7 linked regions of the Sus scrofa genome follow. The protein of the gene in region 1 interacts with the protein of each later gene in a pairwise test. Links are inferred from orthologs where the notes say so. Each region holds a gene or a part of one and is shown in the gene's direction. Other genes may lie near its edges. The genes, in order: GFAP, RIBC2, KIAA0408, SH3YL1, SMARCB1, PDZK1 and GOLGA2.

Region 1 (3,500 bases):
GATTATTTCTCCCTGGACTGCTGCTCTTGGAGTGAATAAAGCTTTATGTTCCCTGCTCTTAATTTAATTTAATTTTATTTTTGCTTTTAGGCCTGCATCCATGGCATAGAGAAGTTCCCAGGCTAGGGGTCAAATTGGTGCTACAGCTGCCAGCCTATGCCACAGCCACAGCAATGCATGATTGGAGTCAAGTCTGCGACCTACACCACAGCTCACAGCAACGCCAGATCCTTAACCCACTGATCGAGGCCAGAGATCAAACCCACAACCTCATGTATCCTAGTCAGATTCGTTACTGCTGAGCCACAACAGGAATTTCTCCCTGCTCTTAATTTTAAATATTAGTGAATGTGACATGTTATATTTTTCTCATTGAAGGGGGTAAAAACTAAATTACTTCTTCCTTGTATGTGGCCTTCAAATGATTCTTAGCTAAGGAAAGAAAAGTCTTTTTCCTTCTGGGCAAGAAATTTACAAACACTAGCTATGCATGTCCCAGGGCTTAGTTCAACATCAGAAGGATTAACCAGCTAGACCAGGTAGAGGCAGTACTGTCAAAAGCCAGACAGAAAAGGGTCACTAGGGCCCAGAGAAATGGCAGAGAGAAGTAGGAAAGGGGAAAGAGGGACAGGAAAGGGACCCATGTGTATCAAGCCCTAATATGTGCCTGTTGTTAACTGACTCCTCAGTCTCATCTAGAGAAGTAGAAACCAGTATCCCCATTTTGCAGATGCGGAAACTGAGGCTGAAAGAGGTAAACTAACTTGCCCACAGTCATGTGGCTGAGCTGAGACTTGAGACCTGGCCCGCCTGACTTCAAGGCCCACGTGCTCCTTCCTTGGCACAGCGCTAGGTTAACAGGCAGGCACAGGCCAGGCAAGGGCTTACAGAGGGGCTGAAATGCAGCCAGGCCAGGGATGGAACAGGGCACTGGACAGAGCAGCCAGTACGTGCATGTCACAGTGGGGGCTTAGGAGATTGCCAGCCCCTTTGGAAATGCCCAGGCCCTCTCTGCCTGGTTGGATAGGCTTTTGCACTCATGGTTGGGGGTTTCATGGGGAAACGGAGGTGGGGGAGGATGTCTAGTGCCCTGAGAGCCCACGGAGACCTCCTTTCCTCACGCCTGCAGAAACCAGCCTGGACACCAAGTCCGTGTCAGAAGGCCACCTCAAAAGGAACATCGTGGTGAAGACTGTGGAGATGCGGGATGGAGAGGTGAGGAGGGCAGACTCGAGATTCTGGCCCCAGCAGGCTCCGGAAGAAAGCCTGGACTGGCACATAGGTGCTCAATAACTCACAGCGGCTCCCCGGGGAGGCTCTGGAAGAGGGGAAGGAACCTGCATGTAATTCAATTCCCCAGGTCCTCCACTGGAAGTTCGAAAGGGAGCCTGGGTGCCGAGGTCACCGGGTGGGGTCCCGACTCTGGCTTTCTCCCTTTCTCACCCTCAGACCCAGGTGCCCCCATGCCAGGCTTGGGGGTAGGGAGAGAAAGAAAATTAAAGTTAGCAGATTTCACTCCCAATTTTCAACTTCCTGCTTGGGGAAAGGAACCTGCCAGAAGAATGGGAAGAGGGGATTGGACACAACTCCCTCCCCATCACACCAGCAATAGCAGTAGCTAATCTCACAGCAGCTCACCACGTGCCAGGCACAGTGCTAGAGACTCACTGGTGTTACCTCATTGCCCCTCTGACTCCTGCACAGGGGTGTTCCTGTGGCCCCAAGGAGTTCCCTTATGGTACAGAGGGTTAAGGATCCAGTGCTGGCATTGCAGTGGCTCAGGTCACTGCTGTGGCATGGGTTCGATCCCTGGCCCAGGAATTTCCACATGCCATGGGCCAGGCAAAAAAAAAACATTTTTATTTTTTTGTCCTTTTAGGGCCACACCCTCGGCATATGGAGGTTCCTAGGCTAGGGGTTGAATTGGTGCTACAGCCACCAGCTTACCCCACGGCCATAGCAACATGGGATCCAAGCTGCGTCTGCAACCTACACGGCTCATGGCAACGCCAGATCCTTAACCCACTGAGATAGGCCAGGGATCGAACCTGCATCCTCGTGGTTGCTTGTGGGTTCGTTAATCACTGAGCCACAATGGCGACTCCTTTTAAATGGAGGCTGGGGACTTGCCCAAAGTCACATAGCCTAGCCATGGTGGAGCTGGAGTCTGTATGGGCTTCTAACTGTGGCACCTTCTCTGTCCCCTGCAGGTCATTAAGGAGTCCAAGCAGGAGCACAAGGATGTGGTGTGAGGCAGGACACACCGGGTAGTCCCTGCCCTGCACTCTGAGGGGCCTGCAGCAGGAGTCGGGGTAGTCACTCCTCCTGCTAGCTCATTTTCCCAGACTCGCGTTCCCACCCCCCCCAGCTGCTCCTCTTCCCCCTCCATCTATGCCGGCTTGCTGCTCTAGGCGCCATCAGCATTAAGCCTGCCAGGTAGCACTCACCCCCACTCCCAGCAACTCTAACAGGACACTCAACCCAGGCGGCAGCCTGAAGGGGTCTGGCCAGCAGCTTGAGTTAGAACTGAGAGGGAGCAAAGAAGTTGGGGAGAGCAGGGAGACCTAATAAATCACCCTCCATCTCCTGAATCCCTGTTGTCATGGCAACTGTTGCCAGAGCCGGAGGTGTCTGGGGGTATCTGGGAACTGGGCCTTTGAGTTTCCTCAGGCTGCTGGAGGAAAACAGAGACTCTGAGGCAGGAAGGGGAGGTCCCCACAGGCAAGGAGGCCCTGGCCAGAGGCTTATTCTTCTAGACTGACCCTGACCAGTCTGAGGGTGGGTGGGGCTATCCTGCCACCAGAATGCCTGGCCTGCCCAGATCACAGAGGGGGCTCCTGAGTGATGGTTCAAGTGTCTCAGCCCCACTGAGCTGCCATGTGGGCATGCAGTGGGCACACGGGAGCTTGGTTCTCAGCACTTGGGGGAACTACAGTGTAAGTGGAGAGGGAAGGGGTGCTGGGAGGGAGTAGAGGGGGCCCTGGCTCCTAGGCGTGGGTACAGAGAGGTCAAGCCCAGGAGGACTCCCCGCATACAGGCTGGAGGGGGGCAGGTAGAGAAGGGGGGGGAGGCAGTTGGGATAATGTTTGACATCAGAGTTGGAGGCTGTGGGCAAGCAAATGCACTTGGCCTCTGGGTCGTGGGACTCAAGAAAGTGACTCATCCTCTTGAAGATGGTGAAACAGGAGAGAGAGAGACTGCTGCTTGTAGGGGCAGGGCCCACTTTATCCCGGTTCTTTGTCCTTTTCCTTGTTGCATAACCCCTGCCCACCCAGGTCTGTGAGCCCCTGCAGCTGCCACCACCTGACTCTAGCACATACTACAGGAGAAGCCTTTGCTACACGGCTGACCCTCTGCTCCCCACAGTGACCACTGCCCTTCCCTAAGCCAAGGCCCCTCTAGTCCCCTGTTAGTTAAATACGAAATGTCCCCCCTGTGTTTTAGGTAGCATCCTATTTTATAGCTTGAGAAACCAAGACCCAGGCAGAGTGAAGACACTG
Region 2 (3,987 bases), on another chromosome or scaffold:
GAACCCACGTCCTCATGGTTCCTAGTTGGATTCGTTTCCATTGTGCCACCACAGGAACTTGGCAAGTTATCTCTTGACTCAAATATGGTTCCCGAATTAAGAAAGGAAATCTGGGCCAAAAGAGCCAAAAGGAGACTCCAGATTTAGGGAAAAAAATACTCCCCAGGGAACCATCCTTTTAGGCCGTTCTCTGCCTGCTGGGGGGTCAGTACCCCACTACCTCCCATCCCAGAGCCGAGGGGAGCCTGGCCAGGCCCAGCTCCAGTCCAGGCTCTGCCACTTCCTGGGCAACCTGGGAAAAGTTACATGGCCTCTCTGGACCTCAGTTTCCCCAACTGTGAAATGGGGATCATACACCCTGGTGAGGATTCAACCAAAACGGCGGCGCCACGAGTCTGGAAAAAGCTCCACAAACGTGGTCATTGTCCCGATACCGCCGTGCCGGTTCCTTGGAACCACACGGCGGCTCGGGCTCCCCGGAACCAATTCCCTCCTCCAGACCGCGCTCCCACTCGCTTTTTGGGGGGACAGAGGGAGGCGGGTGGAGAGCAGAGGTGACGGGGCTGAGGGCAGGAGGAGAAACCGCCGGGCAGGGGAGCGGGGGCGACGCGAGGAGCGGCCAGGGTGGGGCCCCGGGGTGGGGGTCGCGGTGCAGAGCGGGGGGGGGCCGAGGGGGGGTCCCGGGGGTGTGGTCTGCGGGGGGGGCGCTGGGGGCCGAGGGCCGGCTCCCCGCCCCCTTCAACCGCCCCCCAACCCGGGGCAGAGTCTGACCGTCGCCCCGACCCCGGTCCCCGAGCTGGAGGGCGAGGGGCGGGCAGCGGAGGTGGTCGGGGCCCGCGGGGCAGCAGCCGCCCGAGTCCAGGCCGCGAGGCCACCCTCACGACCCCTGCGGGAGAACCGGCCCGGACGCCGGGAACGGCCGGAAGCCTTCCAGCTCCCAAGTTACCGGAGCCGTTGGGGCCGATGATGCAGGTGAACCTCCTGAAGGGGCCTATGACCTGGCGGCCCCGCCACGACTTGAAATTCTCCACAAGCAGCAGCTCCAAATGGCCCATGGCTGCGCCCTCCGCGCCTCAGCGGCGTCCTCACACGCCGGCGGGAAAAGCGCGGGAAGGGCCTCGTGCAGTCTCGCGAGACTAAAGCCAGAACACGCGAGAGCGCTGCGCTGTTCCTTAGCAACCGGAGTTGTTTACGTTTCCGAGGGAACCCGGTCTCCACAAGCCCGTCGAAGGGCAGGAAGAATGGACTGAAAGTCTCTGGAGCAGGCGCGGATCCCACCGGCCCAGGCTCCTAGGGAACAGCCTCACTTAGCTTGAGCTTGTTTTATTTTTGTCGTCTTTTCTTTTTATCTCGTATGTTTTAAAAACCTCTTGGAATTTCTGGGCGATTTTGCAGTCATGGAGGTAGCTCAGCCCAAGGACCTGGAGGAGGACTTTGGCCAGGCCAAGAAGAGACATGCAGAGCTGTGCAGGCAGAAACGGATCTTCAATGCCAGGAACAGGATCTTTGGGGTGAGCCCCTTCAGCCCGGAATGGAAAGGGCCAACAGGGGCAGCTGAGGGGCGCGAGAGGCGGGCTGCGGGAGGCAAGAGCAGACAAATCCTTGGAGTGAAACTTTTGATCCAGGAACAGCTGCAAACGGCTCCAGGCCTTGCCTGGAAGAATAGTTCGATGTACTGACTTTGCTGAGGATGGGAGAGACCTGAACAGACCGAATAATGCCCCCTATCTCTTGCCAGGCAGGCAAATTGAGTCCTGCAGCAGGGAGGGGGCTTGCTGGATTTAGTGGCCGAAAAAGAGACTGGACACAGTTCTCCTCTCTCTGAGCCAGATTTTCTCTATTGCCAGGAGCTCCTTCCACTCCATTCATTTGACAAATGCCAGTGGAGTTCGTCTTTTGTGGCAGGCCTGAGCTGGGCCCAGGAGATGAGGAATAAAGCAGTCCTGACCTTCACAGCCCAGTGGAGGAGGCAGGCAGTAAATGGTCTCGTTACAATGCAGTGGAGCCAGGGCTGCCAGGGAAAAGAGCGCAGGGTGCCAGGGAGCACCAGTTGAGGCTGGGAGAGGGAATCAGAGAGGGCTTCCCAGAGGAGGTGATGCCCAAGTAGTGTTCTGAGAATGAGGATCTATTGACTAAGAAAGGGAGAAGGAACTTTGGGGAAAGTTAAGACAGGCTGAAGAACTAACTTCTTCAAAAGCATCAGAGTATGAAAAGTTCTGATCTAAAAAGATAAGTAGGAGAGTTATTAACTGAATAAAATTATCCGGCTATACTTCTCTCCCTTGGTTTTCCTTTCCCAGGGAGACATAGATGCCTGGAACGTACAGGTTTGTGACCAGAAGATAAGAGAAGCAACGGAAAAAGCTAGACAGGAAACATTTGGTGAGTGTCCCCTGCATGGCCACTTAGTGGTTCAGGGCTGTCACCCTTTAGACCCCTCACCTTATTTCCTCACATATGTACAAATTTGTTTTCAAGCTCTTCCTCCTTTTAAAATGTCACAATTTCTTGTGCTTGAGTTAATGTGCTGATTCTCCATCACTTAAAAGAAAATCAGCTATTGAATTCTCTGTGAGCTGTAGGAAATATATTATGAGGATAGATGTATGTTTTTCTCTGTTTCCTTAAAAAACTGAGTATGAAAAATCTTAAACGCACATGTTTCCTGGCCAGAAAATTCAAGACCTTCTACTGGGGATGGCTGCTTGCACTAGACAACACACACCCCTGAGCTCACACCCCTGAGCTGACTCAGAACCAGATATGGTCCAAATAATAGTATTTGAGCTCTTAGATCAAATTCTCAAATAAAATTCCTTTCTCCCATCATGTCCAACAGCTACTTTTAAAGCATCATAAGGATTTTTTTTTTTTTTTTTTTTTTTGGCCAAGCCTCAGCATGTGGAAGTTCCCGAGCCAGGGATCAAACCCATGCCACTACAGCAGTGATCTGAGCCATGAGCCACGGCAGTGGCAATGCTGGATCCTTAACCTGCTGAGCCACCAGGGAACTCCAAGGATTTTTTAAATAGAAAAAAGCATATAAAATTGTATATACAAAAGTTATCAACTAAATTTAAATATATATATATAACTTTTAAAAAATGTAAAAATATACTTAGAAAAACACAGAAAGGAAATATACCAACATGTTAGCAGTGGTAAAATTGGAGTGATGGCATGATGAGTGAAGCTTATTTTCTTTATAATGTTTCATATTTTCTAAACCTTTCATCTTTTAAAATTCTAGTTTAGGGAGTTCCTGTCATGGCTCAGTGGTTAACGAATCCGACTAGGAACCATGAGGTTGCAGGTTCGATCCCTGACCTTGCTCAGTGGGTTAACGATCCGGCGTTGCCGTGAGCTATGGTGTAGGTTGCAGACACAGCTCAGATCCCACATTGCTGTGGCTCTGGCGTAGGCTGGCGGCTACAGCTCCAATTCGACCCCTAGCCTGGGAACCTCCATATGCCGCAGGAGCAGCCCAAGAAAATGACAAAAAAAAAAAAATCTAGTTTAAAAGTAATTCAAACTTAGAAAAATGATATAACAGACGTAATACATACCCACCACCGATTAGATGTTAACATTTTGCCAACCTGGCTTTAGATATCTTACGTTAAGAATACTTTTTTTTTTTTTTTGCTTTTAGGGCCTCACTCCCAGCATATGGAAATTCCCAGGCTAGGAATTGGAGCTGCAGCTGCCTGCCTTTGCCACAGCCACCTCACATCCGAGCCACGTCTTCAGCCTGCACCACAGCTCACAGCAATGCCAGATCCTTAACCCATTGAGCGAGGCCAGGGATCGAACCCACATCCACATGGATCCTAGCTGGGTTCGTTAACCGCTGAGCCACGAAGGGAACTCCCTGGATATATCCTTTTGCAACATTTAAAAAATTCAATGGTCTATTTTGGAATTAATCAGTGATCTACATACAGAATATTCATTTTAATTGCTTTATAGTGTTTTGTTATATGAATT
Region 3 (3,500 bases), on another chromosome or scaffold:
ACAGTCATTGACTTGGGGCATTCCAATTTCTTTAACAGTGCTTCTATATCATCATGACATCTAGATATAAATGCAGGTTTGTGTCATTTCTGAAGGAGTTGATTTCTACCCAGGAAGACAGAAATTACCACCCATGCTTTTACCTACTAAAAGTCTTTATGGTTCACCAAAGTTGTTCAGCTTAATCCAGATTTTCAAAGTACTGTTTGGAAGCATAAGCATTAATCCCCTGGGTACACAGTAATATGGCAAAGAGGACTGAAAACAGTGTGCTTCATATCAAAAAATATTGACCAAGTGGATTGGGGGAAATCTTTATCTTTGTTTTCCCTACAGCTCTGCCACGAAGTAAAGCTTCGAAGGAAAATCAACATGAGTGAGCGTGCTAGGATCCCTGATTTCGATCGTGAGAAGACCATTCAGGATAAAATGGTGGAATCCTTCCCAAATGACCCCAGTTCAGGACAATGTGAATTGATGGGGGTGAATAACAGGGATGGGCTGGGAAAAAAAGATAAAATGGAGCAGAGCTTACTCAGTGAAAGACAGCCCATGTGTAAAGAACAAAAAGCAACCAAAAAATCCAAAGTAGAGTTTATAGATGCTTTGGCCTCAGACAACCAAAAGAAAGGTGAGACCTGGCCGGACCTGAAGGCTTCTGAAGAGAGTGAGAGCTGTTCTGGAGCCCTCCACACAGTAAGTAAGACAGGACTGGCCTAGAACTGTTTCTAAAGAAATATTTACATTTCAAAGAGCTAACGTGTTGTTGCTTCTACTATGAAGGCTCTTGAAGAACTTGCTAAAGTTAGTGAAGAATTATGCAGCTTTCAAGAGGAAATACAAAAGCGGTCTCACCACAGAAGGTAGGCTGGAACATCTCTGATGATTGTTCTGTTGAAAACTCAAGAAGAATGTTGTTTTCAGTTAATGAATCCAAACCGCCTTTAGCTTCTAACACTTTTGTTAGTGGGAATTCATAATGTTATTAAAATCTGTTACCCTAGATAGAAGATAAAAACTTAAATTGTATATGGCTCTGTTCACTAATTCTCAAAGCAAATTTTTAGTCTGACTATGAGGCACACTTTACTTTTTTGGTGTTTCATTTAGTTATGCTCACAATAATAAATAATAAATTAACAAGTATACTTTGATGGAGTTCTTTTTAATGTTGAATATTTGGCCGTGGAAGCATATATTGGGTTAATCTAGTTAAATACATCTCTAAACGATGTCGAATTTAACATGTGATGTTGTAATTGTATAGTGATGTTCTGCTGAAATGTTTTGAGTCATTTATTTCTCTAGATTTATTATGTCTATAATGTAAGCCTTCATATTTTCAGAACAACGTATTGTAAATATGTACACACATTTATGCGGTGCTATGAAGTGCTGCAGTTCAGAAACAACTATATAAAGGGTAAGTTTTAGCCAAGCTGAAAAATAAATTGGTATTTTCTACAATTTAAGAAAAGATGAACTGTTCTAGGATCAACATTTATCTCCTAGTGGGGCAGTATACTTCTCTTAGAAAGCTACAGGACCGTGTACCCTTCTTTTTCTTTAGCTCTTTGGAAGCTCAGAGAGAATTTTGGTACTGATTTACAACAGATTTTCTTACTCAACCATGTTTTATACATAATTTTGCTTCCACTCTCCCATTTAGCCTTTGCCTATTATTCTCTGTTGAGTATTTATCTGCACTTTCTTATAAGCTATAACTTGAAGAGACATAAATATGATTTGTATTTATCAATATAATTAGTTAACACTAATTTATGAACCCACATTTTTGCTACACTTAGGTTTTGACTTTAGTAAATGAGAAAATTCTGGGGCGTTCTCATTGTGGCTCAGTGGCTAATGAACCTGACTAGGATCCATGAGGATGCAGGTTTGATCCCTGGCCTTGCTCAGTGCATGAAGGATCTGGCATTGCCATGAGCTGTGGTGTAGGCCACAGATGTGGCTCGGATCCCACATTGCTGTGGCAATGGTGTAGGCCAGCGGCTACAGCTCTGGTTGGACCCCTAGCCCGGGAACCCCCATATGCTGCTGGTGCAGCCCTAAAAAAAAAAAAGAAAAGAAAAAAAAAAATTCTTGCTTGCCAGTTTTATCTTGCAAACCCTACTAGGTATAAAGTTCTGTCACTTCATAGCCTTTAGAAAAAAGCAAAATCCCTTAATATGTAATTCAAAGTCATTACACTTTGACCTATGTTTCTCTCTTATTTTCCATCATCCTTCCCACTCTGTTTCATATTCCATCCAAAGTACTCACTGTTCCTTGAATAGCCACACTATTTTCACTGCAGCTCACTTTGTCTCTATGCCTTTTACTCATCAAAAAAAAAAAAAAAAAATTGTCACTTTTCTTTCAGGCCCAAATAGCACTTTCCATGTTGTGTTCCTCATGTCTCTTTGTGCTTTGATTTAAATTTCTATCAATACTACTTATAATGTTATTTCAAATTCATGAGGAGGGACTTGAGCTCAGAAGACATAATGAATAGGAATTCAGTAGGCAAAGCAGAGGTACAGAAATGGCAAAAGAAAACCTATAGTGGAGTTCCCGTCGTGGCGCAGTGGTTAACGAATCCGACTAGGAACCATGAGGTTGCGGGTTCGATCCCTGCCCTTGCTCAGTGGGTTAAGGACCCGGCGTTGCCGTGAGCTGTGGTGTAGGTTGCAGATGCGGCTCGGATCCCGCGTTGCTGTGGCTCTGGCGTAGGCTGGCAGCTACAGCTCCGATTAGACCCCTAGCCTGGGAACCTCCATATGCCGCTGGAGCGGCCCTAGAAATGGCAAAAAAAAAAAAGAAGAAGAAAAAGAAAACCTATAGAAATGACAACTGTAATAGCAGATACCCAAGAGACAATACGCAGTCTACTCTGTGGGTAGGTGAAATTTCAGGTAATTTTAAAAATGAGTGACACAGTTAAAATATCTTTAGTTCAGACTATGTATGTAGAGTCTTGAATACAACACAGAGGCAGGCTTTATCTTGCAGTAAAAGGGACTTGAAATTTTGGACTAGGGGATTTATATAAAAATGATGTTTGAGGAAGTTTTGACTCCTTTTCCTATAACAATCCATTGTTTTAGCTACAGTGTCTTTTAAGAGCTTATCATAAATGAGGTTATCACTAATATACCGTGTTTTACAATTGTTTAGGATGAAGTCAGATTCTTTTCTCCAGGAAGTCCCAAATGTAATTAATATGCCTCATGGAGATCACATGATCAACAGCACCCAATGCATTCCTTCAACCGATTTTGAAAAAGAAAAACAAAAAAACAGAAAGAACCTTAGCTGTACTGATGTTTTCCAAAACAATTATAAGAAAAAGGGTGGAATTGATATAATTGATCTGCAGAGACATGAAACTCCACCAGTTCCTCCTCCAAGAAGCACATCTCGAAATTTTCCCAGTTCATATTCTGAACAAGCCCATGAAAGTTTGAAGGAGAGTTTAGACCACAACATCTGGGTGACCC
Region 4 (3,500 bases), on another chromosome or scaffold:
CCTTAGAAATATTCCATGTATAAAATGGAAATAGCAGTTGACATGAGTCACAGTGAAATGTTTCGCATGGGTCAGTTAACTGGCATTTTTAGTCTGTCCTATGGAACTTGAGTGTACTTTTTCATGAAATGATTCAAATTAAACTGTGTCAGAAATTCCACTGGGCCCTTCCAAGTACAATCACTTTTGGTAATAATTAGATTCTTCTGTCAGATGAAAAAACATCAATTTGAAAACACTTTAAAAATGATAAAGAATGGAGTTCCCGTCGTGGCGCCATGAAAACGAATCCGACTAGGAACCGTGATGTTGTGGGTTGGATCTCTGCCCTCGCTCAGTGGGTTAAGGGTCCGGCTTTGCTGTGAGTCGTGGTGTCGGTCACAGATGCACCTCGGATCTGGCGTGACTATGGCTGTGGTGTAGGCCGGCAGCTGCAGCTCCGATTCCACCCCTAACCTGGGAACCTCCATATGCTGTGGGTGCGGCCCTAAAAAGACACAAGACCCCCCCCCAAAAAAAAGAATGATATAAATGCTGCATATACGTATACAAATACATATTTATTTATAAAGGTGGTTACTATTATTATACCCATTTTACAGAGAAAGAAACTGAGGCTTTTGAGCTGCTCAGTCATTGGCCCAAGGTCACACAATATTCAAGAGGCAGAAGTAGAATTCACACCCAGATGATTTTGGAAGTTGGGTATGGTTTGGATTTTGAGCCCAGCTTCCCAGCCTAGCATTCTCCAGGCACTGCCACGGGGGCCTGACCCTCACGGAGGTTCACGGGGGCCAGTCTCCTTGTAGGCTTTAGCTGTGAGAAGGCAGGGGGCCAAAGGCAGCCACAGACCCCGGGTCACCCCGTGCTGGCAAGAGAGCTGGGTTGACACTCTCGCCTCTGTCGCCCCAGAACCTGGCCAGGCTGCCTCTCCTCTGGCGGTCCTGTCACAGCGCAATGACTTTGAAGAAAATGCTTTCTCCATGGGCACCTGCCAAGAGCATGAACTCATTCTAGTTTTGCTCTAACTTGGAGAAATCATTCTTGGTAGCAGGCATAACGAATGGTAACTAGTCTTCTTCCCGATAGTTGGAATGTGACCTAAAATTAGTGCGCAGCTCCCCGGGGGGTGGAGGTGGACTGGCCGGGACGTGGGTGCCCATGGGAGCGCCCCCGCCTCTGGCCGCCCTCTGCGTTCTTTGGCTTGGCTTTTTCGAAGGGCACTGTTTGAGGGGGCTTTTGCTCTTTCCCACCTTCCTGTGTTGGACCCGTTCTGGTTGGCACTGGGACAGTTCACTTAACGTCACTAGGCCGTGCTCACCGCCACCTCCATCGCAGGTTGGGGAGGAGATAAAGCAGGTGCCCCTGCTCGCTGCGGGGTGACGGCCTCCGATTACCTGTGGGAATGTTAGCTGCTCACATCCTCACCTGAAAAAAGATAAGACTCTCCTCTCATAGTCTTTCTCTGACTAGATTGAAATGCTCGCCACATTATATATAGCATATTCAAGTTTTAATCAACATGTGTTTTAAATCATATTTAGACAAAATTATTTAAAAATAAATGGTTCTCTACATTCCAGGTGTCAGACTTGGTAATAATTCTGAATTATGGCAGAGCAGTGGAAGCTTTTGCGAAAGGTGGCAACCTAACGCTCGGCGGGAACTGCACCGTGGCAGTAGGGCCCTTGGGGAGGTGAGTGCTCTCGGGCCCTTGGTGAGCAGCTACTGGACAGTGAGGGCTCAAAACTGCATTGTGTCACATTGAGAAAAATTAGAATGAGGCATAGTTATGATGTATATATCTTCCAGGGAGTTTGAGGTTGCTTTCAAATAAGAAATTTATAAAACACAACCAAGTATAATAAAATGAGATCATCTGAAACTAGCACACGCAGAAAGAAATGAAGTATTTCAGAAATACAGGCTGTGTATCTGCTGGAACGGCACATAACCTATGCCTGTGTAAGCTCTGAAGGAGCCGAGTCAAATCCGTTTTAACTGAGAAAGGGCAGCATTGATCAAGAAGGAAACCTTTTTTTTTTCAATCTGAATTGTGAAAAATTGAAGTGTTTCACTGGAGTGATGTCCACGATACTCGCAGTGTATTTTCCTGATTATTATTAATGAGTAACAGTCTTGAATGACTTGAGCAATTAGGTATTTTAAACCCAGACTGTTTATGGAAGTGACACAGTAGAATCATTCAAAAATGTTCTGCGTTCCATGAAGATACTCACTGTGAAAGGAACGGCAGTCTTTCACTCTTGAGATACGTTTCCCTGTCTCAGGAAAGGAAGACACGACTTGAAAATAGGAAATTCACACAAGGTCTCTGCAATGCATCACGCCCTCTGTGACATCTTATGTCCCGGCGGTGAACTGCCCTTCCTCTAGGTGACTTTGAGCACACCTAGCTTGGGCCAGCAGGAAGAAAGACATGTCAAAACAACTGTAGTGAGTGCAGAGCAAGACTGTCCTTTGGGGTTAGAGTACTGTCTAGTCAAGCAGTCACCTTTAGCTGGAGCCCACAGTCCTGTGATGCAAAACCTTCCATTTTGCAGGAATTTAGAAGGCAACGTCTCCCTAAGAAGCTCAGCTGCTGTCTTTACATATTGCAAATCACGAGGCCTCTTTGCTGGCATATCTTTAGAAGGTAGCTGTTTGATCGAGCGGAAAGAAACTAATCGAAAGTAAGTGCCAGGCAAATAATTTTAATTGATTTGAGGAGTGTGTGATGAGAACATACTACTTCATAAATTCATATGCTCTTAGGAGGGTACAGAGGGCCTCGGTGCAGGCAAGTCTGTCGGCACTATTTTTCCAGCAGCCTTTGCTCACTTGGTGTGTCTCCATCACCTTTTGATAACTCTTGCAATGTTTTGACATTTTTCATTATTATATCTGCTGGAGTGATCTGTGATCGGTGACCTTTGATGTTACTGTTGTGCTTGTTTGGGCACCAGGAACTGCATCTGCATGGGACGGAGAACCTCGCCCATCGCCGGGTGTGTGCGGTCTGCTCCCTCCCCTCTGCTCAGGCAGCCCCATCCCCTGAGACACAGCGGTATCGAAATGTATCACTCTGCAAAGACCTCCACGTGTCCACGTGGAAGGAAGGGCTCCACATCTCTTATTTCTAATCAAAAGCTCGAAGTGCCTGAGCTTAGTGAGGAAGGCGGATCAAAGCTGAGACAGGCTGAGCATGAAGCCTTTTGTGCAAAACGGGAGCCAAGCTGTGCACGCAGAGCAGAGGTCTTGGGGGGAAGGAAAAGGGCTGCTCCGGGGAAGACATGAATGCGAAGAAACAACCGTTTGAGCGGCATGGAGGGACTTGGAGTGTCTGGAGAGATCACATCGGCCCCACATTCCCTTAGGCCAGAGCCCCACTGTTCAGGGCTGCGAAGGCTGACGGGGGAGGAAGCTGCAGAAAGAACCTGGAAGCTGGCAGGCTGGTTCCCGAGGTCAAGCGAAGAAGCCGTCTGGGTAACATAAAGTTC
Region 5 (3,500 bases), on another chromosome or scaffold:
CAGCCTCCAGCACGGCTGGGCCCCATGTGGCCCAGCCTGGCTCGACCTCACCCCCAGCTCCTCGGGCAGTGTTTCTGGGCCCAGTCCCCGGACTTTTCCTCTGCCAGGTTCAAATGCTGTCCATGTGACTCACTGTGTGAGCTGCCTGTGGCTCCTGGCACAAAATGCCACAAACTGGTGGCTTAAAACAACACAAGTCTGGGAGCTTCCTGGTGGTCTAGTGGTTAGGACTCGGCACTTTCATTGCTATGGCCTGGATTCAGTCCTTGGTCTAGGAACTGAGATCCCACATCAAGCTGCTGCACACTGGGCCAAAAACAAACAAGCAAACCAACAGTACCCCCCTCCCAAAAAACCCCTAAGTTTATTCTCAGGGTTTTGGATCCCAGGACCTTCACTTGGCCCTTCTCCCTCTGGGAGCTGGTCTAACTTCTGGCAGGCACTTTCCTTGTTCTGGTGGCTGCCTCACTCCAGTCTCTTCAGTGGCCACATAGTCATGTGGCCTTCCCCCCCTCCCCCCTGCCGTGTGTGTGTGTGTGTGTGTGTGTGTGTGTGTCTCTGAGAGAGATTTCCCCGTTTATTGTAAGAACACTTGTGATGTAATTTAGGGCCCCTTTGGATAATCTTCTCTCAAGATTCTTAATCACTAATGTAAGCCCCGCCCTTTTATTTGCTCTACAAGGAAACAATCAGGTTCTAAGACTTAGGACCTAGATGTCTTCAGGAGGCCTTTTTGCAAGCTCCCATCCCCTGAGCTCTCCCCTAACCGGCCCTGGGCACCCCCACATGCACCGCCTGCATCCCGGGACACGGCAGTCCCACCCTCGCTGTCCTCGGGCCCAAACCCTGCAACCCTTCCTCCTTCTCACACCACAGAGCCAGTCTCAGTAGATTCTGCATGCCCAGCCTTCTGAGTATCCAGAATCTGACCATCCCTGGCCAGCTCCCCATCAGCCAGGGTGGGTCCTCCAGATGCCCATCACACTGATGTCAGCAGGCCAGAGTCCAGGTGGTGGCCGCCCCTCTCTGGCCCCATCTTCTGCCACCCACTGCCTTCCCCGCCTCAGGCCTTCTCAGCGCTCCAAGGCCACCCCGGAGCTCCTGCCTTTGTGGTTGCCTCGCTTCTTGCCAGCACCTGCAGGCTCACCCCTACCTCCCTTCTCCTTCCCACCTTCCTCCCTCCCACCTTTTCCTTCCTTCCCATCTGTGTTTGAATGTCTTCTCCGAGTGCCCTCCCATTAGAATGGCCACTCTGGAGTTCCTGTCGTGACTCAGCAGTAATAAACCCGATGAGTATCCATGAGGACGTGGGTTTTAACCTTGGCCTCTCTCAGTGGGTTAAGGATCCGGTGTTGCCGTGAGCTGTGGTGTAGGTCGCAGATGTGACTCAGATCTGGCATTGCTGTGGCTGTGGTGTAGGCTGGCAGTACTGCTCCAATTAGACCCTTAGCCTGGGAACTACCATATGCCATTAATGCCGCCCTAAAAAGACCAAAAAAAAAAAAAAAAAAAAAAGTCCTTTCTGCCCCTTCCCCTGACCATGTCTCCCAAGGCCATTGTGTCTGGCATGGGGGTGTTTCCCCTTATCTTGTTTATTTGTTCATACCCATGTCTGGAACCTTCTGTCTTCCGAATATGCCCTTGGGTGCATCCCCCGCCTGGCTCTTCCCTCCTGTCTCCATGTGTGAGCAGGCAACCGCCTGGCTCACAGTCTCCTGAGCTCCCTTGGGATGGAAGCAGAAGGCTTGGACCCCTGCCGCTTCCCAGTACCCCTGTACCACTCCCCTGCCTGGTCTGCATCCTCCATGGCTGCTCTGGCTACTCCCTCAGCTCTCCCGCCCCTTGGCCTTTGTTCAGGTGCTTCCTTCTCTGGAAACATGTTTCTTTTCCACAGCTTTCTGGGGAAGTCCTGCCTGCCTTGGTACTTAAATCTCCCTTCTTGTGGAGAGTGTCCACATCTTTTGTCCCAGTGCCCAAGTCAGAGCTCTGCCCCTGTGGCCCCAGGACCCCTGCTGGCCCCATCTCTGCTGATAGTGGACAAGTCCCTTTAAGAAGCAGGCTTTCCCCCCTGGTCAGGGTGCGGGACCCCAGCCACCCTGGCTGAGCATGCTGTTGCCTCCCTTTCTAGCTTTGACGACCATGACCCAGCTGTGATCCATGAGAATGCATCCCAGCCCGAGGTGCTGGTCCCCATCCGGCTGGACATGGAGATCGACGGGCAGAAGCTACGGGATGCCTTCACTTGGAACATGAATGGTACGTGGTGGCCAACACGGCCATTTTGCTCACAGTCCCTTTCCCACCTGCCACCCATCAAGGGGACCCTGGACTCTGAACACAGCATTCAAAGCATCATGGTGTAGTTCCCGTCGTTGCTCAGCGAAAACAAATCTGATTATCATCCATGAGGATGTAGGTTCGATCCCTGCCCTTGCTCAGTGGGTCAAGGATCCAGCATTTCTGTGAGCTATGGTGTAAGTTGCAGACACGGCTCTGGATCTTGTGTTGCTGTGGCCATAGCAGAGGCTGGCAGCTATAGCTCTGATTTGACCCCTAGCCTGGAGGTTGAACCTCCATATGCCATGGGTGTGGCCCTTAAAAAACAACAACAGCAACAAAAAAATCCAAAAAAAACCCCAGCATCATGGCATGGATTTGGAAGGTGTGGACTCTGGGTTCAAATCCTGCTTCTGCCATGGTTTCCTATGGGCGGGGCACGTGACCTTGGGTCCTTCCTCCCCCAGTGAGCATGGGGGAGCCTGGCATGCAGGCTACCAGTGCACAGAGTGTGACGAGGGTCTTGATGCCCCTCAAATGGGTTCAGCCGGCCGGCTCCCCACATGTCCTCCCTTCTTTCATAGCACTTTGTGTGCATGCCACAGCCTCTGTCACTTCCTTGGTCAGTAGGGCTACTCTCTCCCCGCCCCAGTTCCCTTTCTCGTCCTTTGAGTCCTGGTCAGATGCCCACTCTCCTGACTTCTCATGTCCAGGCTCTGCAGATGTAGAAAGGAAAGCCGAGATCAGACACCCACCCAGGCATTTAGAGTCCTTGATGCTTCTGGGATGGGGGGGGTTACACATGGGTTTATTCTTTTCTGCTTTTCTTTTCTTGAATTTCACAGACTTTTATAACAAAGATATTATTTATATTCAAACAAAAACATAGTGAATATAATTTTTAAATGAATAAAAGTGTAGAATCATGAGAAACTCACCAGTGTTATCTAATGTACTAATTTAAGTTTCAAATAACCTACTGGTGGGCATGAGCACCCTCACGCAGAGGGCTTAGCAGTGTACAGGGCACTGGTGGGGCAGCCTGAATGAACCACTGTGTCGTCCTCTTCAGTCTGAGCCTCACCTGTAGAAGGTGTCTCTCAGTGATGAGCTCTCTGAGAAGGACCTGAGAGGGAGCTGATTGGGGTGCCTGTGGAATGTGGCAACATCTTCAGGGGGTTGGCATCTTTGGAAAGGATGAGCTGCCTGGTGAGGAAATGTGC
Region 6 (3,500 bases), on another chromosome or scaffold:
TTCTAGGAGATAGAGGACAGATCAACACAATTTGATGTTCTTTCCCATGGATTTGCCTGTTTGTTTTTCAGCACAGAAATGGCTTCCTCCTTCAAGCCCCGAGAATGTAACCTGTCTAAACAGGAAGGGCAGAGCTATGGCTTCTTCCTGCGAATTGAGAAGGACACTGATGGCCACCTGGTCCGGGTGGTTGAGAAGGGTAGCCCAGCAGAGAAGGCGGGTCTGCAGGATGGAGACAGAGTTCTCAGGATCAATGGTGTCTTTGTGGACAAGAAAGAGCATATGCAGGTAAATGGGAAACTTGGGGTTCTTTTGGAATCTCTTCAGCCCCTGCTTCTTTGCTGACTATAGTTTTGGGGGTCAATGGAGCTTTCTTGGCTGCCACTCGCAAGGCAGGGCACCCTTAGGGCTGTATTCTGCCAGCTAAATTGAGTCTCCTACAATTAACCATGAACTGTAAAACTTGTTTTTAGATTTGAATAGTGTCAAGTCTCATATGTATTGCAATTTTGCTATAGGCCAGGAACTATGCTAGGCAATTTCATATTCATTATTTTGTTCAATCCTCATCCCAACTCATGGGGTACATATTACCATTTCACAGATGAGGAGGTAGAGGCTCAGATAACTTAGCTTGTGTTCATGCAATGAACATATGGGAGGGTCTGGCCGTACCCCAGTTCTCTCTGCCTCTGAGTGGGTGCCTCTTTTCATGATAGAATGCGGTCTCCATAGACCCTGGAAGACCTGTTGTGCTCTAGGGAATCATCCATCCCTAGAAAGGAGCAGTCCTAGTAAAAGTCCCCCGGGCTGGGTTTGGGCTACACTCTTGGTTACAATATTGCTAGAGGCCCGGCTTCATGTGTACCTGCATCTCGGGAGGGCCTGGGCAGAGATGGCTGGGGCACTCCGCTAACTATTTGGATGTCAGGGGTCAGCCAGTGGAATCTCCAGAGCCATATAACAAGCCAGATAGTGAGCACTCCCCCCAGTCACCACCCTTCAGTGATTGATAGAGGGTTATTGGTTAAAGTTATCTTTTTCCTTTTTTCCTCCTAGGTTGTGGATCTGGTCAGAAAGAGTGGGAATTCAGTGACTTTACTAGTTCTGGATGGGGATTCCTATGAGAAAGCCATGAAAAAGCAAGTAGATTTGAAAGAGTTGGGTCAAAGTCAGGAGTCGAGTTTGAATGATAAGAAACTACCTTCTGTGATGAATGGAGGAGCACAGACTTGGACCCAGCCACGGCTCTGCTACCTGGTGAAGGAGGGGAGTAGCTATGGCTTTTCTCTGAAAACTGTCCAAGGTGAGCCTGAGGGTGAGGCATGGACAACCAGCTTTCCAGAAGAAAGATATTGTTATCTGTTAACGACTCCTTTGACTAATTTTTCAAGTTGCTATGGATATCCAACAGCAGCTTCTCTCCTTCCTTCCCTGGCCCTTCCTATGCTTTGCACAGTTGTGCAAAGAGGAATCAGAATGTTGGACAGCAGTATTGTGTGAGTGGGAGGGGGCTAGGGGGGATGCTGGGTACACCTGTCCCCAGTGTTTGTTAGGCTGAGCATTTGAGGCCAGAGGAACCCTTGGTGAACCTTTGTTATTTTCCAGCTTCCTTAGAGTGAAGGTGGAGGGGAGGATAGAGAATAACAGGCAAGGAAAAGGAGGTTGTTCACAATAGCTACTTCTGAATAAGAATACTATCTCTTTTTTTTTGAAAATTTTATTTTTTTATGATTTTTATTTTTTCCATTATAGTTGATTTACAGTGTTCTGTCACTTTCTACTGTATGCTATGTCTTTCCAAAGATCCTTTTTTTTTTTTTTTTTTTTTTTTTTAAGGGCCACAGGTGTGGCATATGTAAGTTCCCAGGCTAAAGGTTAAATGGGAGCTGTACCTACTGGCCTACGCCACAGCCATGGCAATGCCAGATCTGAGCCACATCTGGGACCTACACCACAGCTCATGGCAATCCAGGGAGTGAGGCCAGGGATTAAACCCACACCTTCATGGATACGAGTAGGGTTCTTTTCTGGTGAGCAACAATGGGAGCTCCTCATTCAAAAATTGTTGAACACCTATTTGTGTTATTGGACACTGTTATAGTTGCCGAGGGCACTGAAAAAACCCCCACCCTCCTGTCTGTGGCATTTACATAGTACCCTCAGCTGTGGCCAAGTTCTGAGGTGCCTCCCTGACCTTTAGCTGAGAGGTATATAGTGATTTGAAAAACTCCAACCTTTTAGAAAGTACTAGAAATTCTGTTCCTAGAATTTCAGAGGTGCAGGCTGACCCCTGCTCAGTTGACCATAGTTTTCTAATGGTTTCACTGGGGTTTAGGTTGCAACCATAGCTGTGTTAGCCTTTTGATTCTATCTCTAATGCTGTTCATTCTCCGTTCTTTCTGGTGTTGGAGAGGCACTGGTAGTGGGTCATAATTTGGTAAGTTATAAAGAGCAGACCAGTAATAAACATAAAATAATTTCTAAGGCAGGCTTATTTAACCTGTGGCGAGACATATAAACTAGCCATAAGAAGTATTTCTCAAGTTTGTTAGTTATTACAACACAGTGATGAAGGTGGCCAAGGGAAGCCTGGCATTTCTTAGAGGTTATCAGTAAAATGGAAAAAAATTTTCTAATTCAGATTCTATTCATTTGGGCTTTGTATAATGTATGTGGTGAATGGTTTAGCTTAGCTTATGGAGAAGTTGTTTTCTTTATGACAAATATATAACACAGTAGCAGGAGAAATGTTTAAGTGTTTAAGGAAGCAGAATTTAAGCTACTGTTTTTCTTTACAAATGATTTTTCTAGTCGTTATGAAGCTACCCTTTGCCTAGGCTGAAATGGTAGTATCTTGAAAGAATTGACAGCATTTCTTTAAGAAGCTCCTAAATCACCCCACCTACTCAAGACTGTGTGTGTGTGTGTGTGTGTATACTGCCCTCTCCTCCTGGGCCTCTGTCCTCTCTAGCCTGTATCAGTGAGATTTAATCACCTATTGGGATGTGACCGTTGGGGACAGCATTAACTAAAGAGGACAGAATAGAGCAGAGGCCTTCTAATTCTACAGATGCAAAGACAGGGAGTATGATGTGGTGATGCAGCACAGGCATGATTGGGTACCTTCCGGTTCAAGCGGCCAGTGCCACCTGAGATTTCTTCTTTGCATTTCATTGGGCTCAGAAATTTTATTCACAACATAAAGTGCTAACCACTATATGATCACAGCCAGAAATTCTGTTCAAATCAACAAAACCTAACTGAGTAATGGCTGTGTCAAGCTTTGTGCTAGGAGCTGTAATTTAATTCTGGATCAGAAGCCAGAGGCTCTTTGAGTTAGCTCTAAAATGCGAAGTTCTAACTTTATCTTATTGAGAGAAAACCCTTTGCTGTTGGTCTTTCTGTGTAATGAGCTGTGATGCTTGTCTACCTCCTACTCTCTTTCAGATAAAAAGGGAGTGTACATGACTGATATAAAGCCTCAAGGTGTGGCTATG
Region 7 (3,500 bases), on another chromosome or scaffold:
TGGGAGCGGCCAGCTTGGCTGGACGATGTTTAGCTAATCATTACTTCCCTGAGTCTCCTCTTTGTAGCTGTACAGATGAAGGGGTTGGACCATGAGACTGGTTCCACCGTTCTGTCCTGCTGATGGGAGCTGCTTGGGAGGGAGGGACACAGAGAAGCTGGCACAGAGGGCTTGAGCAGGGGGAAGGGGACCAGCTTAGGCAGAAAAGGAAATGCTGCCAGTCGATGGGCAAGACAGGATGTCGGAGGGCTTAGGCCTCGAGGGGGACGGAGAACGTCTCCATGTGAGCCCTCTCATCTCTTCTAGTCTTCACCTTATATCAATGGGGAGGGCCTAGCATCTCCTGCTAACATAAAGAAGCTGGAGGTAAGTGGGCCTGGACCGTGGCCCCGTGACCCTGCAGGTCAGCCACCTCCCGCCCCCCCCCTCCTCCCACAGCGGGGGCTAGGTTCCCCACTGCCAGCTGAGACAGCTCAGACACCCCCCGACCCTAATGATTGCTCTCTCTACCTCTCCCCCCACCCTCCTCCAACTCCTCCTCCTCTCTGCATGCGCCTCAGAGCCGGTACCACGAACTATCACTAGCCCTGGACTCCAGCAATCTAACAAACAAACAACTCAGTAGCAAGATAGAGGAATTGGTAAGAGTCCAGTGTTGTCCCCGATTCCACGCTGCCAATCTGGGGCTCCAGTTCCACCTTGGGGCTCCGAAGAAAGGGGCTGGGGGCCCCTGGTACCGAGGGAGAATGGGGTGCCGGGGGCCCAGGTTGCAGTGAGAGGGACCCGGGAGTGCGGCATGCAGCATGGCTCTCTCTGTGGCTGCCCTCTTTGCCTCCTCTGTTCTCCAGACGCCCCTGCTGAGTCCTCCCCCCCCTTGCCCTGGGCCTGGTGCCTCTGTGGGTAACACTAGCTTGACAAGGGTGTCCCAGCCCCGGCTTCAGCCCCTGATTCGCTCCAACTTTGACCTTGGACAAGTCACCTGTCCTCCCTGGGCTTTAGGAGGTAGAATTAGAGGGCGTCCAAGGTCCCTTTGAGCTGGAAAAAAAAGAAAAAAAAAAATCAAAGATTTGAAGGTCCTTCTCATTCCTATATCCTTGCTGGTAAGAACACCCCAGCCCGTGGTATGTGCGTGTTGAGCGGATGCAGCCTCCCAGACTGCGAGCTGGCGGAGGATGTGGTCGCTCCCTTCTCACACTCCAGCTCGAGAGGCTTATGTCCTTGTCCTCGCAAGGGAATCAGGTTCAGACCCTTGGCTTCTGTAGCTGTGAGCCCCACCTCCCAAGACCCAGAGTCTCTTGGCTGAGAAGCGATGGCCCCTTCGTGTCCCCAGCAGCTCCTCCTTTGAAGCCCACCCCCGGCCCCTGCTCAGCCCTCCTCCTTGGTCTGAGGATTGTGGGAAAGGGGGCCGACCTCAGTCTCCTCCCTTTGCTTCTTCCCCACAGAAACAAGAGAACCAGGAAACTCTGGATCAACTGGAAAAAGTAACGTGATTTCTGTGTCTGTCCCCCTCACGGCTGGTGGCTTCGGGGGAGGGTTGAGACGTAGAGGCCCGTTCTCCTCGCGCCTGATCGCAGCCCGGAGAAATGGGGGGCTCCCTGGCCCTCGCCACCCCTCCCTCACCCCCGATTATATGTTCTCATTGGTGAGACTGTCCTGGGCCAGTGGTGGCTTTCTGGGGGGCACCTCCTCCAGGTGAGAGCTGTTTCTCCTCTCTTCCCGCAGGAAAAAAAGGAATTTGAGCAGAAGCTTGCGAAGGAACAAGGGGCTCTGAGAGAACAACTGCAGGTGAGTGGATCCTGCCGGGTTCCCTCGCGGCCTCCGGGAAACGTGACTTTGCTGCTTCTCAAGCCCCCCTTTCGGCCTTTGTCCCACAGGTCCACATCCAGACCATCGGGATTCTAGTGTCTGAGAAGACGGAACTGCAGACCGCCCTGGCTCACACCCAGCAGGCAGCCCGGCAAAAAGCAGGTGGGAACCTGGGTGCCCTGTGACCCCCTGGGCCGGGCACGCTGGCCGGCCTGGAGCGGGAGTCCTTCCTCGGGCTTCACCTCTCACGCCGTCCTTTCAGGAGAGTCGGAGAATCTGGCTAGTCGCCTGCAGTCTTCCAGGCAGCGCGTGGGCGAGCTGGAGCGGACGCTGTCTGCCGTGTCCACGCAGCAGAAGCAGGCCGATAGGGTGAGCCCGGCAGCCTAGCCCTCCCCGGACGTGTAGTGGAGGGCGAGTGAGCCCAGAGGTCCCTTCCACAGGATGGGGTGACTTGCTGCCCAGAAGGCGGCACTGGCCACTTCCCGCTGCTCTAAACTCGTGTGCTTGATAGAAGCAACCCAGGCATGAGTTGGTTGCCATGGGCCAGTTGCCCGTGTGTGTGTGGTGTGTGTGTGTGTGTGTGTGTGTGGGCGTGCACGCAAGTGCAGTCACAGTGGAGGTGCTGTCTAGTGTGAGCCCTGGATGCAGAGCTCAGAGTCCGAGTGCCAGCCCTGCCCTTGCCTGGCTGTGGGCCCTGGCCCCCATGCTAGGTATTTGGACTGTGAAGGTCCATGACGGTATTTTTAGTACGTTGCCAAACTAAAGAGGGGAGACGCACGCGTGTGTGATGTATTCAGACATGTGGGGAGGGATTCACAGCAACCTGGTGGGGAGGAACAGGGTGGCTGAGAGACTTGTCACTTCTGAACCTTCTGAGTTTGGGGCTCTGCAGAGGTACCATCCACTCAAACCATGAACACAAGCTCACAATACAGTTCAATCCCCCTCATAATGCACCCCCCCACCCCAGGGAGAAAACGTGGTTAAAGAATCAGACAGACCTGGGAGGTCCCGTTGTGGTTCAGCGGGTTAAGGACCCAACTGGTATCCATAAGGATGTGGGTTCGATCCCTGGCCTCGCTCAGTGGGTTAAGGATCCGGCATTGCTGCAAGCTGCAGCGTAGGTTGCAGATGCGGCTCGGACCTGGCTGTGGCTGTGGCGTAGGCTGGCAGCTGCAACTCTAATTTGACCCTAGCCTGGGAACTTCCACATGCCACGAGTGTGGCCCTAAAAAGGAACAAAGGAATCCAACAGACCTGGAAGCTTGGTCCCAGCTCTGGGTGATTTTGGGGGAGCCACTTGCTCTCTGCTACTCCGTGCTGGGCACCTGTATGATGGAGGCAGTAATAGTAACCGCCTCCCACGGTGATTATGAGGCTGAAAGGGGAAAGTGCTGGAAAAGGTTCAGACCTGGTGACGGTAACGGTGATAGAGCTGGTGGTATTACCTGCCGGCCCCGGGCCTGGGAGCCAGCCAGCCGGGAGTTAGACCCTCCACCCACCTCTTCCACTCTTCCCGAGTTCCTGTTAAAACTGAATGCGAACGTGAACTTGGGAAGGGCTTTGGAAACATGTAAAGTGTGACACCAGGTGAGGACACGTTGCTGAGAGTTACTGTTGCTGCCGTTAGTCTGTTTTCCTGACCTCAGCCTTCCGCCTTTGCAGTACAACAAGGAATTAACCAAAGAGCGAGA

What was found.
Region 2: the proteins of GFAP (region 1) and RIBC2 interact in a two-hybrid assay, tested with the Homo sapiens proteins (2 studies listed by BioGRID and IntAct). The two-hybrid records come from large-scale screens. The link is inferred for Sus scrofa from reciprocal best matches to the Homo sapiens genes GFAP and RIBC2.
Region 3: the proteins of GFAP (region 1) and KIAA0408 interact in binary tests that used the Homo sapiens proteins (3 or more experiments, as listed by UniProt). The link is inferred for Sus scrofa from reciprocal best matches to the Homo sapiens genes GFAP and KIAA0408.
Region 4: the proteins of GFAP (region 1) and SH3YL1 interact in binary tests that used the Homo sapiens proteins (3 or more experiments, as listed by UniProt). The two-hybrid records come from large-scale screens. The link is inferred for Sus scrofa from reciprocal best matches to the Homo sapiens genes GFAP and SH3YL1.
Region 5: the proteins of GFAP (region 1) and SMARCB1 interact in binary tests that used the Homo sapiens proteins (3 or more experiments, as listed by UniProt). The link is inferred for Sus scrofa from reciprocal best matches to the Homo sapiens genes GFAP and SMARCB1.
Region 6: the proteins of GFAP (region 1) and PDZK1 interact in binary tests that used the Homo sapiens proteins (3 or more experiments, as listed by UniProt). The link is inferred for Sus scrofa from reciprocal best matches to the Homo sapiens genes GFAP and PDZK1.
Region 7: the proteins of GFAP (region 1) and GOLGA2 interact in binary tests that used the Homo sapiens proteins (3 or more experiments, as listed by UniProt). The two-hybrid records come from large-scale screens. The link is inferred for Sus scrofa from reciprocal best matches to the Homo sapiens genes GFAP and GOLGA2.

The regions. Positions count from the first base shown.
Region 1 is NC_010454.4:18,462,781-18,466,280, forward strand, and holds part of GFAP (glial fibrillary acidic protein), read left to right. Parts: intron 1-1,129; coding exon 1,130-1,215; intron 1,216-2,210; coding exon 2,211-2,252; 3' UTR 2,253-3,500.
Region 2 is NC_010447.5:3,973,225-3,977,211, reverse strand, and holds the start of RIBC2 (RIB43A-like with coiled-coils protein 2), read left to right. Parts: upstream 1-1,187; 5' UTR 1,188-1,397; coding exon 1,398-1,511; intron 1,512-2,300; coding exon 2,301-2,382; intron 2,383-3,987. Other genes in the region: SMC1B (structural maintenance of chromosomes protein 1B), read right to left, coding at 947-1,055. UniProt on the Homo sapiens protein: Microtubule inner protein (MIP) part of the dynein-decorated doublet microtubules (DMTs) in cilia axoneme, which is required for motile cilia beating.
Region 3 is NC_010443.5:35,766,560-35,770,059, forward strand, and holds part of KIAA0408 (uncharacterized protein KIAA0408 homolog), read left to right. Parts: intron 1-336; coding exon 337-696; intron 697-783; coding exon 784-863; intron 864-3,177; coding exon 3,178-3,500.
Region 4 is NC_010445.4:132,708,836-132,712,335, forward strand, and holds part of SH3YL1 (SH3 domain-containing YSC84-like protein 1), read left to right. Parts: intron 1-1,583; coding exon 1,584-1,696; intron 1,697-2,564; coding exon 2,565-2,693; intron 2,694-3,500.
Region 5 is NC_010456.5:49,892,544-49,896,043, reverse strand, and holds part of SMARCB1 (SWI/SNF-related matrix-associated actin-dependent regulator of chromatin subfamily B member 1), read left to right. Parts: intron 1-2,128; coding exon 2,129-2,256; intron 2,257-3,500.
Region 6 is NC_010446.5:99,642,085-99,645,584, forward strand, and holds part of PDZK1 (Na(+)/H(+) exchange regulatory cofactor NHE-RF3), read left to right. Parts: intron 1-71; 5' UTR 72-78; coding exon 79-288; intron 289-1,059; coding exon 1,060-1,306; intron 1,307-3,450; coding exon 3,451-3,500. UniProt on the Homo sapiens protein: A scaffold protein that connects plasma membrane proteins and regulatory components, regulating their surface expression in epithelial cells apical domains.
Region 7 is NC_010443.5:268,710,156-268,713,655, reverse strand, and holds part of GOLGA2 (golgin subfamily A member 2), read left to right. Parts: intron 1-306; coding exon 307-366; intron 367-560; coding exon 561-641; intron 642-1,442; coding exon 1,443-1,481; intron 1,482-1,722; coding exon 1,723-1,785; intron 1,786-1,874; coding exon 1,875-1,968; intron 1,969-2,068; coding exon 2,069-2,175; intron 2,176-3,471; coding exon 3,472-3,500. UniProt on the Homo sapiens protein: Peripheral membrane component of the cis-Golgi stack that acts as a membrane skeleton that maintains the structure of the Golgi apparatus, and as a vesicle thether that facilitates vesicle fusion to the Golgi membrane.